2 linked regions of the Coturnix japonica genome follow. The protein of the gene in region 1 binds, or shares a complex with, the protein of each later gene. Links are inferred from orthologs where the notes say so. Each region holds a gene or a part of one and is shown in the gene's direction. Other genes may lie near its edges. The genes, in order: HBS1L and PELO.

The links.
Region 2: HBS1L (region 1) and PELO share a complex: the UniProt entries of both Homo sapiens proteins name them as parts of the pelota-HBS1L complex. The link is inferred for Coturnix japonica from reciprocal best matches to the Homo sapiens genes HBS1L and PELO.

The regions. Positions count from the first base shown.
Region 1 is NC_029518.1:50,454,682-50,459,243, forward strand, and holds the start of HBS1L (HBS1-like protein), read left to right. Parts: upstream 1-1,616; 5' UTR 1,617-1,723; coding exon 1,724-1,766; intron 1,767-4,562. UniProt on the Homo sapiens protein: GTPase component of the Pelota-HBS1L complex, a complex that recognizes stalled ribosomes and triggers the No-Go Decay (NGD) pathway.
Region 2 is NC_029547.1:17,373,999-17,378,329, forward strand, and holds the start of PELO (protein pelota homolog), read left to right. Parts: upstream 1-1,449; 5' UTR 1,450-1,761; coding exon 1,762-2,487; intron 2,488-3,620; coding exon 3,621-4,052; 3' UTR 4,053-4,331. UniProt on the Homo sapiens protein: Component of the Pelota-HBS1L complex, a complex that recognizes stalled ribosomes and triggers the No-Go Decay (NGD) pathway.

The DNA.
Region 1 (4,562 bases):
TTGAATATCACGCAAATGAAATGTAAGGCATATCTGCAGAGTAGCTGAAAATCCAAAGTGATAACATAATGAACACGAACATAAAATTCAAAAATGAAAAATAATTATTTGATAAGCATCTGATGATTTGTGTAAAAAGCACGATGAGGAAGACTAAAAGGACATCTTTGCAATAGGACGATCTGGTTTGAAATGAGAAATGTCACTATTTGAAAAAGGAAAATATGTTAAATTTACATGATTAATATTTACTTGACATTCTAACATTTCAAAAAATAAGATCTAATTTTGGAGGTTGAAAAAAAGTGCAGTTTCCAAGTTCAAGCTTGTTGGAGGCAGACTGGCAGAACACTGTGAGGCTTGTAGTGATACAGGGTTCTAATTTACAGCTAATTTACTTCACCAGAGGACCAGATCGCACATGCTACAATCAGTTTTTGAATTTAGAATTGTATCACCCAACAGAAGATAGTGCCACAACTCTACATGATGTTACACAACATTAAAGCATGACATGTACAGTTAGGAGCTTTCTACAAGCACTCTCATGGCATGACTTACTTTGAATGTATCAGTCTGACTTCTGCTGTTAGAAGCAATGGGAATCAGCTGTTCAGAAATTTCATACATTTCTGCAGGGAATCACTACTGCTACAAATGGTTTGGGTACGTATTTGTCATAATCCTTCAAAAACTGTATTTGAAAACACTCAAGAGCTTCTAAAGACTGTTTGGTGCCATGTGGAACTTAATGTTCAGCAAGGGTGCAATATGAAATCATAAAGAATGACAGCAGTTCTGCATCTCTGACCCATATCAAGAGATTGGGACAGATAGCGATAAATATAATTTCATTCAAACTGTGGCAGAGAACATTTATTTCTGTCACCGAAGGTCAACAGTACATCAACGTTAATTAAATATTTTTGTTTCCAGATCTAATTTAATCTTAGCGCCATATGAAAGACATTATATAGATCCTAGGTCTGTGCAGCTGCGCGCGCTGTTCTGTACAAATTGATTAGAAATATGCAAATAACACAAGGAAACAATCTGCACATTTGCATGCAATTTGTACATGAACACACAGTTTGGCTTATGTTTAACACACCTTGCCTCTGGCTGTGGTCAGGATGGTTAAATATATATACTACTACATGCAAACGTGGTTGTAGCAATTTATTCATTTTGTGGCTCATACAGAATCACAGAATGACCTGGGTTGGAAGGGACCTCAAGGATCATGTAGTTCCAACCCCCCTGCCTGGCAGTGCCACCAAACATACACCTTTACTAGATCAGGTTACTCAGGGCCCCGTCCAACCTGGTCTTGAACACCTCCAAGGACGGGGCATCCACAACCTCCCTGGGCAGCCTGTTCCAGGGCCTAACCACTCTCCTGGTAAAGAACTTCCCCCTAAGGGCAGGTTACACTCCCATTGCCATTTGGACACCTCAATGCACACTGACACCCAGCCCTCCCTCCCTCCTCCTGCTGTGAGGGCGGAGGCGCCTCCACCCCGCCCCGCCCCGCCCCGCTCCCGCCGATCAGCACGCGCCGCATCTGCCGGACAACGCTGCGCATGCGCGAAGCCGCGGCGCGGCCGGAAGTGCGCTCGGTGCGCTTGCGCATTGGGCTTCTGCGCGACCCGGCAGAGACCAACATGGCGTCTTAGGCCCATCGACCCAGCGTCAGCGGGCGAGCGACGCGGCCGCCGCCATCATGTCCCGGCACAGGAACGTCCGAGGCTACAACTACGACGAAGGTAGTGGCGAGCAGGAGCCGGCGGTTATATCCGACGCCGATCCCGCTTCGGGCCTGCCAACCACCCTCCCTTCACGCAGCCCCGGCCCGCAGCCCTTTCCCGGCGGGCCCTTGAGGAGACCGCGAGGCTCGAGGCGAGGGCGCGGGGGATCGTCGGGCCGGTGGGAGGGGAAAAGCAGCTGCTCCCTTCCCCTCCCCTACGCGGGGGTTGGACGAGGCGCCGTGGGAGGCCTCGCCCCGCTCCCCTCGGCCCCCCCGCCGCTTCCCGCCCGCCGCCGATGGGCTGCCTCGTCGTCAGCGGGAAACGCTTTGCTGCCCGGCCCGGGGCTGCCGAGGCTGAGCGATTTTCAGAGGCGTGGGAGTCGCTTAAAGCCAGTGACGGTGTGACTGAGCCTCTCTTGAGTCTTTTGGAAGTTTATGGGTCCAGTTTCAGTGCAGCAAGTTGTTACTGGTATATTATGGATAAGTGACAACGTCTGTACAGCGGCAACACTTCTGTGTAGGAGAGAATTTTGGATGTTAGGGGGAAGTTCTTCACTAGGAGAGTGGTTAGGTCCTGGAACAGGCTGCCCAGGGAGGTTGTGGATGCCCCGTCCTTGGAGGTGTTCAAGACCAGGTTGGACGGGGCCCTGGGCCACCTGATCTAGTAAAGGAGTGTGTTTGGTGGCCCTGCCAGGCAGGGGGGTTGGAACTACATGATCCTTGAGGTCCCTTCCAACCCGGGTCATTCTGTGATTCTGCGAGGCATAGTTCTGAATCATAGACCTGAGCAGCTAAGGAAGAATCAGATATTTCTGTTATATTGTACTCAAGTTTGTATGGAGTGAATAAGATCTCGTGTATGAATTTCAGCTTATAGTAAAGTGACTTTTTTTGTGTCCTGTCCCATTAATACAAGCAAACTGCCCTTTGTGCCCATTGGCTGAAGGGTTTTATTTGTGTTGGCTTGTGTTGTGAAAAAATGGGCACAGTTCCACTTTATACTGGTGTTCTAGATAATATGTTAGTATGGAAGCAGCTACTTCGTCAGGTACAAAAGAATGCAGAATATATTTCTCCCTGTCTCCGCTCTTCTGAGTGAACAGGTGCAAAGTTCAGAGATCGGGTTTTGTGCCATGAATTTGGACTTTTGAGAGAAATCATTTCAATCTGCATTTTCCATTACTGTAGTGTGAGCTGCCTTGCTCTCCAAGTTTACCTACTAGAAGCCCAACCTTAGCCTGGGTTGGGAGTTTTTGTGCTGAATTTTTTCAGCCTCGACAGGCATTTACTTCATCAAAGATGTTGGCTGTAATGTTGCTCTTAACTGGGCCTCTGCCCTCTGTGTGAGTGTACAACCTGTAGAACTCACTTTGGTGCTTTTACTTAGATCAGGAATTCTTTTAACTCATCTTGCTGAGATTCTATAAATTGATTTAACCTTATGAGGCCTGTATTGCTGCTCTGAAGTTCTACTGTTGCATTACACATCAGATTTAATTACAGGTGTGCATATGTGTGGTCTGTATACTTCCGTCATATATTACTTTTGTAGTCACGTGCAATCTTGCTAAGTTACTTAGAATACATGTATGTATTCTGCTTTGTTTAGCCCAGTTCTTGGTCTTCTAAAGTAAATATCTGCGTATTTTTGGTCTCCTTTTTGTAGGAAGGCTTCGGAGCCCTGAGGAAGGATTTTCAGCCTTAATGTAACTGTATTCTGTTTCTGAGCATTTTTTGAGGTTGTGTGTTCAGAACTGAATGAGTTCTGAGCTGAAATCTGCTGAATTCCTGCGGAGTATTTTGGCAAGATAGCTGTTGATGCTGTGGAATTTATCTGTGGTCTAGAGATGCGTTGAGAGTAAAATTAACCTTTCACATCTCAATCTGTTCCTTTTTTGGATGGATACAGTGTTTGTAATATCCTAGTTCTGTGGCCTTTGAGTTGGTACTGGAGTACCAAATTCCTGTGTAACTTCTAGCTACTTTTTCCTCTTTCTTTAAAAAAAAGGGGATTTGATCCAAGTTTATAAATACTTGAGGTGTGGGGGCCATAGTGGTGAGGCTGGTCTCTTTTCAGTAGTGCGTGGGGACAGGACTAGGGGTAATGGGCTGAAACTTCAGCATAGGAAGTTCCACACGAATGTGTGCAAGAACTTCTTTACAGTGAGGGTGACGGAGCACTGGAACAGGCTGCCCAGGGAGGTGGTGGAGTCTCCTCTGAAGATATTCAAGACCCACCTGGACACCTACCTGTGTGACGTGGTGTAGGGAACCTGCTTTGGCAGGGGGGTTGGACTCGATGATCTCTAGAGGTCCCTTCCAACCCCTACAATTCTGTGATTCTGTGAAAAAAGAAGCAAACAGTATTTGTGAACTTGTCAAGCATATGCAGTAACGTCTTCAGAAATATTTCACTATTCCATTATGTATTTCATTATTCTTGGTGAAAAATGTAAGTTTATTTTCAAAGTATATGTAGTACCAGGATATGCGTATATTTTTAATAGAGAATAATTTACTTTCTGATTATGTTTCCTGATATGTTTCTTAAAATTTGAATCACAGAATCACAGAATTGTAGGGGTTGCAAGGGACCTCTAGAGATCATCGAGTCCAACCCCCTGCCAAAGCAGGTTCCCTACACCACGTCACACAGGTAGGTGTCCAGGCGGGTCTTGAATATCTCCAGAGAAGGAGACTCCACCACCTCCCTGGGCAGCAAATGGATGAGGTCTATGGGTATCTTTGAGTAACTGGATAGGAGTCTTGCTTTTTTGGCTGAAACTGTTTCAAACTTAAGTTGAAGGAGATCTTG
Region 2 (4,331 bases), on another chromosome or scaffold:
GCATTTACAGAGACAAATGAAATGAATTCCTGAGGAGAAGCTAAATGCAGTCTCCACCTAAGCCACAAAATGTTAATACAAATTATGTGTATGCACAAGCCCAAATTAAACAAATAGTTATGTGTGTGCTTATGTTTTATTCCCTTGGGTGGTCCAGTTTCCTTCTGTGAAAGTACTCATGCTAACAGTTCGGCATGTGTACTCATAGGAAGAGAGTCTGAGGTCTCATAAATAAATCCTGTTATGTAATATCTGATAAAGTTGTTTTTACATCAGCATCAAGATTAGAAACACTGAATACATGTCACCGGGCCAGATATGAGTTCAGTGTCCTGTTCTAATTAGTGACCAGTGCCAGACACTTTAGGGAAATTCATATTATTCACATGAATTTCACCACAATAGGAGATATCACTTGCTAACACAAATCTTGTATTTCATTAAATCCTTCAGTCAAATTATTTTCCTTGTTAGAAACATTTTCTTAAGAAACTACAGGAAACCATAAAGTTCTTCTTAACCAAGGGGAAGGCAGAAAGTTTAAAACTGTCAAGAGGATATTTCTTGCTTTTCAGTTATGGCTGAGGTATATCAAAACTCACTTTATTTGCTCCAGTTGCCCTGATAAACTTAGAAAGCAAAGTAACTTCTCTCTTTTATGAAGTATTTTCACTTTCCAATCTCTTTGTCATACAAACACATCCTTTTAGTCTCCATCCTTCTCAGTTTCCCCTCATTTTTAACAAATCTGCAACATTCCTTCTGAAAACAGCATTCAGCATCACGACACTGTTTCAAAATTGTCAGAATTCCAAAATTGTCAGAATTTGCACGACTGTATCACAGGTTTTTATATTATTTCTGGTTTGTTAAATTCATCCAAGATGCAAACTGAGTTGTCAACATCAGAACACGGAGCTTTTTATACTGCATGTCTGATGGTTCTCACAGCTGTCTCATTCTGACCACAAACAGGAGATTCAGGAAGGAGCTCAAGTTTTTGGGTGTGTTTGAGTACAACTGAAGGTAGGCTGTATTAAAAAAATATTAGTAACAGTTTAACCAAAACCTTTAAGCTGTTTTTAAGAGTAAAGTCAAACTAACAGTCACGGCTTCGTGTTACTTTGGACTCGTTTTCATTGTGGTCTGTAAATACCATCTCTCTAGTCACCTCTTTCATGCCCTAGCACGTTAGATATCATAGCCTGTTCGATGTGATTCTGAAGTATCACAGAATTCACTTATCTCAGCAAGGAAATCTGCTATTTAGCTGTACTTTTCTCATCTCCTTTATCTGTATCCATGACTTTCCATACCTACATGCGTGTGGAACTTAGTGCAACTACCCCCACTCTCGCTTCAGCTTTTCCACCACAGAACAGAGGCTCCGCCGTACGCATGCGCCAGCTCCTAATGGCTGAGTTGGCGGCGTGTGGAGGGCGTTGCGCATGCGTGCCGTGCGGAAGGGCTGCCGGCCGCTGCTGGCTCCCCGTCGGACGGGTTCGGTGCATGCGCCTGGGGAGGAGGCTGTGAGGCGGAGGGGCGGCTGAGCGGCCTACAGGAGCCTACAGGAGCCTACAGGAGTCGGGTTCCCGGAGCTCTGGTTTCGCGGCCGGGCCGCGTCTCGTCCGCGGTCGGGGATCGGCCCCTGGCTGATCGGCCGGCAGTACGTTCCGCTTGGCCCCGCCGCCACCAGGGCTCACGGGGTGAGTAGACAGGCTGGGCCGCTGCTGAAGAGAAGGTGGGGACGGCGCCGGCAGGATGAAGCTGGTCAGGAAGGACCTGGAGAAGGATAATGCGGGACAGGTGACGCTGATCCCCGAGGAGCCCGAGGACATGTGGCACACCTACAACCTGCTGCAGGTGGGTGACAGCCTGCGGGCCTCCACCATTCGCAAAGTGCAGACCGAGTCGTCCACGGGCAGCGTGGGCAGCAACCGCATCCGCACCACCCTTACCCTCTGCGTGGAGGCCATCGATTTCGACACGCAGGCCTGCCAGCTGCGGGTCAAAGGCACCAACATCCAGGAGAATGAGTACGTCAAGATGGGGGCCTACCACACCATCGAGCTGGAGCCCAACCGGCAGTTCACGCTGGCAAAGAAACAGTGGGACAGTGTGGTGCTGGAGCGCATCGAGCAAGCCTGTGACCCGGCATGGAGCGCTGATGTGGCAGCCGTGGTCATGCAGGAGGGGTTGGCTCATGTCTGCCTGGTTACCCCCAGCATGACACTCACTCGTGCCAAGGTGGAAGTGAATATCCCTCGCAAACGGAAAGGAAACTGCAGCCAGCATGACCGGGCCCTAGAGAGGTTTTATGAACAGGTGGTGCAGGCCATACAGCGGCACATCAACTTTGAGGTGGTGAAGTGTGTACTGGTGGCCAGCCCAGGCTTTGTTCGAGAGCAGTTCTGTGATTACATGTTCCAGCAGGCAGTTAAAACTGACAACAAGCTTTTACTGGAGAACAGATCCAAGTTTTTACAGGTAAGGGGATACATTGTTTTTTACAAAGTTTAAAAAGTGGATTAAGAGGTGCCTTCCATGTTAATAGAAAAGAAATACAAGGAGGATGGGGAAATAATACCATTACTGGAGAAATTAACTTTCTACTACAGCTTCATAGGGGATGCTGTAATAGAAAGGCATATTCTCATGCCTCTCAAGTTATAAAGTAGTTAGGCAACACTCGGGGATTTTTCTTTCCTTGGATAATTTGGCATGAAGTAGAGAAAATATTGGCTTTAAATAACTATTTAATGTACTATTAAAAGTGAAATATTAATTGAAAAGCAGTTCAATTGTAGTGTTAAACAGCCATGCTATATAATATGTACGTTTAGTAGCAGCTTTCTGAAGGTTTTAATAGAGGAAGGGAAGTGGTATAGTTTAGTTAATGTTGCTGCTAGTTATAGATTGTGTAGACCATAACAGTTCTTCTTATTCTTGATTCTAATAATTGGTTGGGGTTTTTTATTATGTTTGTCTGTTCATTTTTGCCTTCCATTGAAATAGGCAAAGACAAATTGAAAAGTAAGTTTTCCTTTTCATAAGGATGCTTTTGTCACTTTAGAATTGTTGCAGGCCTAATCTGTGCTTTCAGAATGGAGACGGTCCAATTCTTAGTGGTCATAAAATTTGGTAGTCTTAAATTACACTAAGAAGCCTGCTCTTGCATATACAGGAAAATGATAATGTGTGAAAGCAAGCATAGAAATATGCAGTTAGACTAGACTTAATGCTTTTGTGCTGTATGACTTCAATCATAAAGGGTCATATTCTTCTTGTATGTTGTAAAATAAAGAGGGTTAAGTTTTCTTAAGTTTTCTTAGTAGCTTGAGATGCTTCTGCCTTTGGTGCTGTTAATAACAGCTTGTTTTTTTAGGGTTGTTTCTAAAGAAAATAATTTTTTTAATAAGCTTAAAATATAGTTTGTAGATTTAGGTTGAGGTTTGTATTGTAGGAGAAGTTAAGGAGGAAGAGTTAAGAAAAGACTTGAAGGAAGAGATAAATTGATTATTATCAAGGTAAATATGTATTGTGGAAGCTATTTGTGATTGGCTAATCAAGACAATTGTACTTTGTATTAAAGAAGGAATCTCTGATTTTGTTTACTCCAGGTACATTCATCATCAGGACATAAGTACGCACTGAAGGAGGCACTTTGTGACCCAGCTGTAACTAGCCGTCTCTCTGACACTAAGGCTGCTGGTGAGGTCAAAGCCTTAGATGACTTCTACAAAATGTTGCAGCATGAGCCTGACCGAGCTTTTTATGGCCTAAAACATGTGGAAAAGGCCAATGAAGCCATGGCCATTGATACTTTGTTGATCAGTGATGAGCTTTTCCGGCACCAAGATGTGGCTACACGTGCCCGATACGTTAAATTGGTAGATAGTGTACGGGAGAACATGGGCACAGTGCGCATTTTCTCCAGCCTTCATGTATCTGGTGAGCAGCTTGGCCAGCTGACAGGGGTAGCAGCCATCCTGCGCTTCCCTGTTGCTGAGCTCTCCGACCAGGAGGATGAATCTAGCTCTGAAGAAGATTGACAACAGTGGCTTCATTTCACAGTATCCCTTCCAAGTGACATCAAAATGACATGAATGGAATGCTGAGATTTAGAGCTGACTGGTTTTGCAAGTTACACCCTGGACCTCCAGCAGTACCAGAAACAGTTCTCAGTCCCTGAAGCTGCTTATTCTTTATGCTTATTCTATATGCTAAGGCAGATTGTCAGCTTAATGTTCTGTAATGTGTACAAAAAGCTAATAAAATAAGCAGAAAACTATGTCAGACTCTTTATTTTTGCTCAAATGTTTGAAAACAGT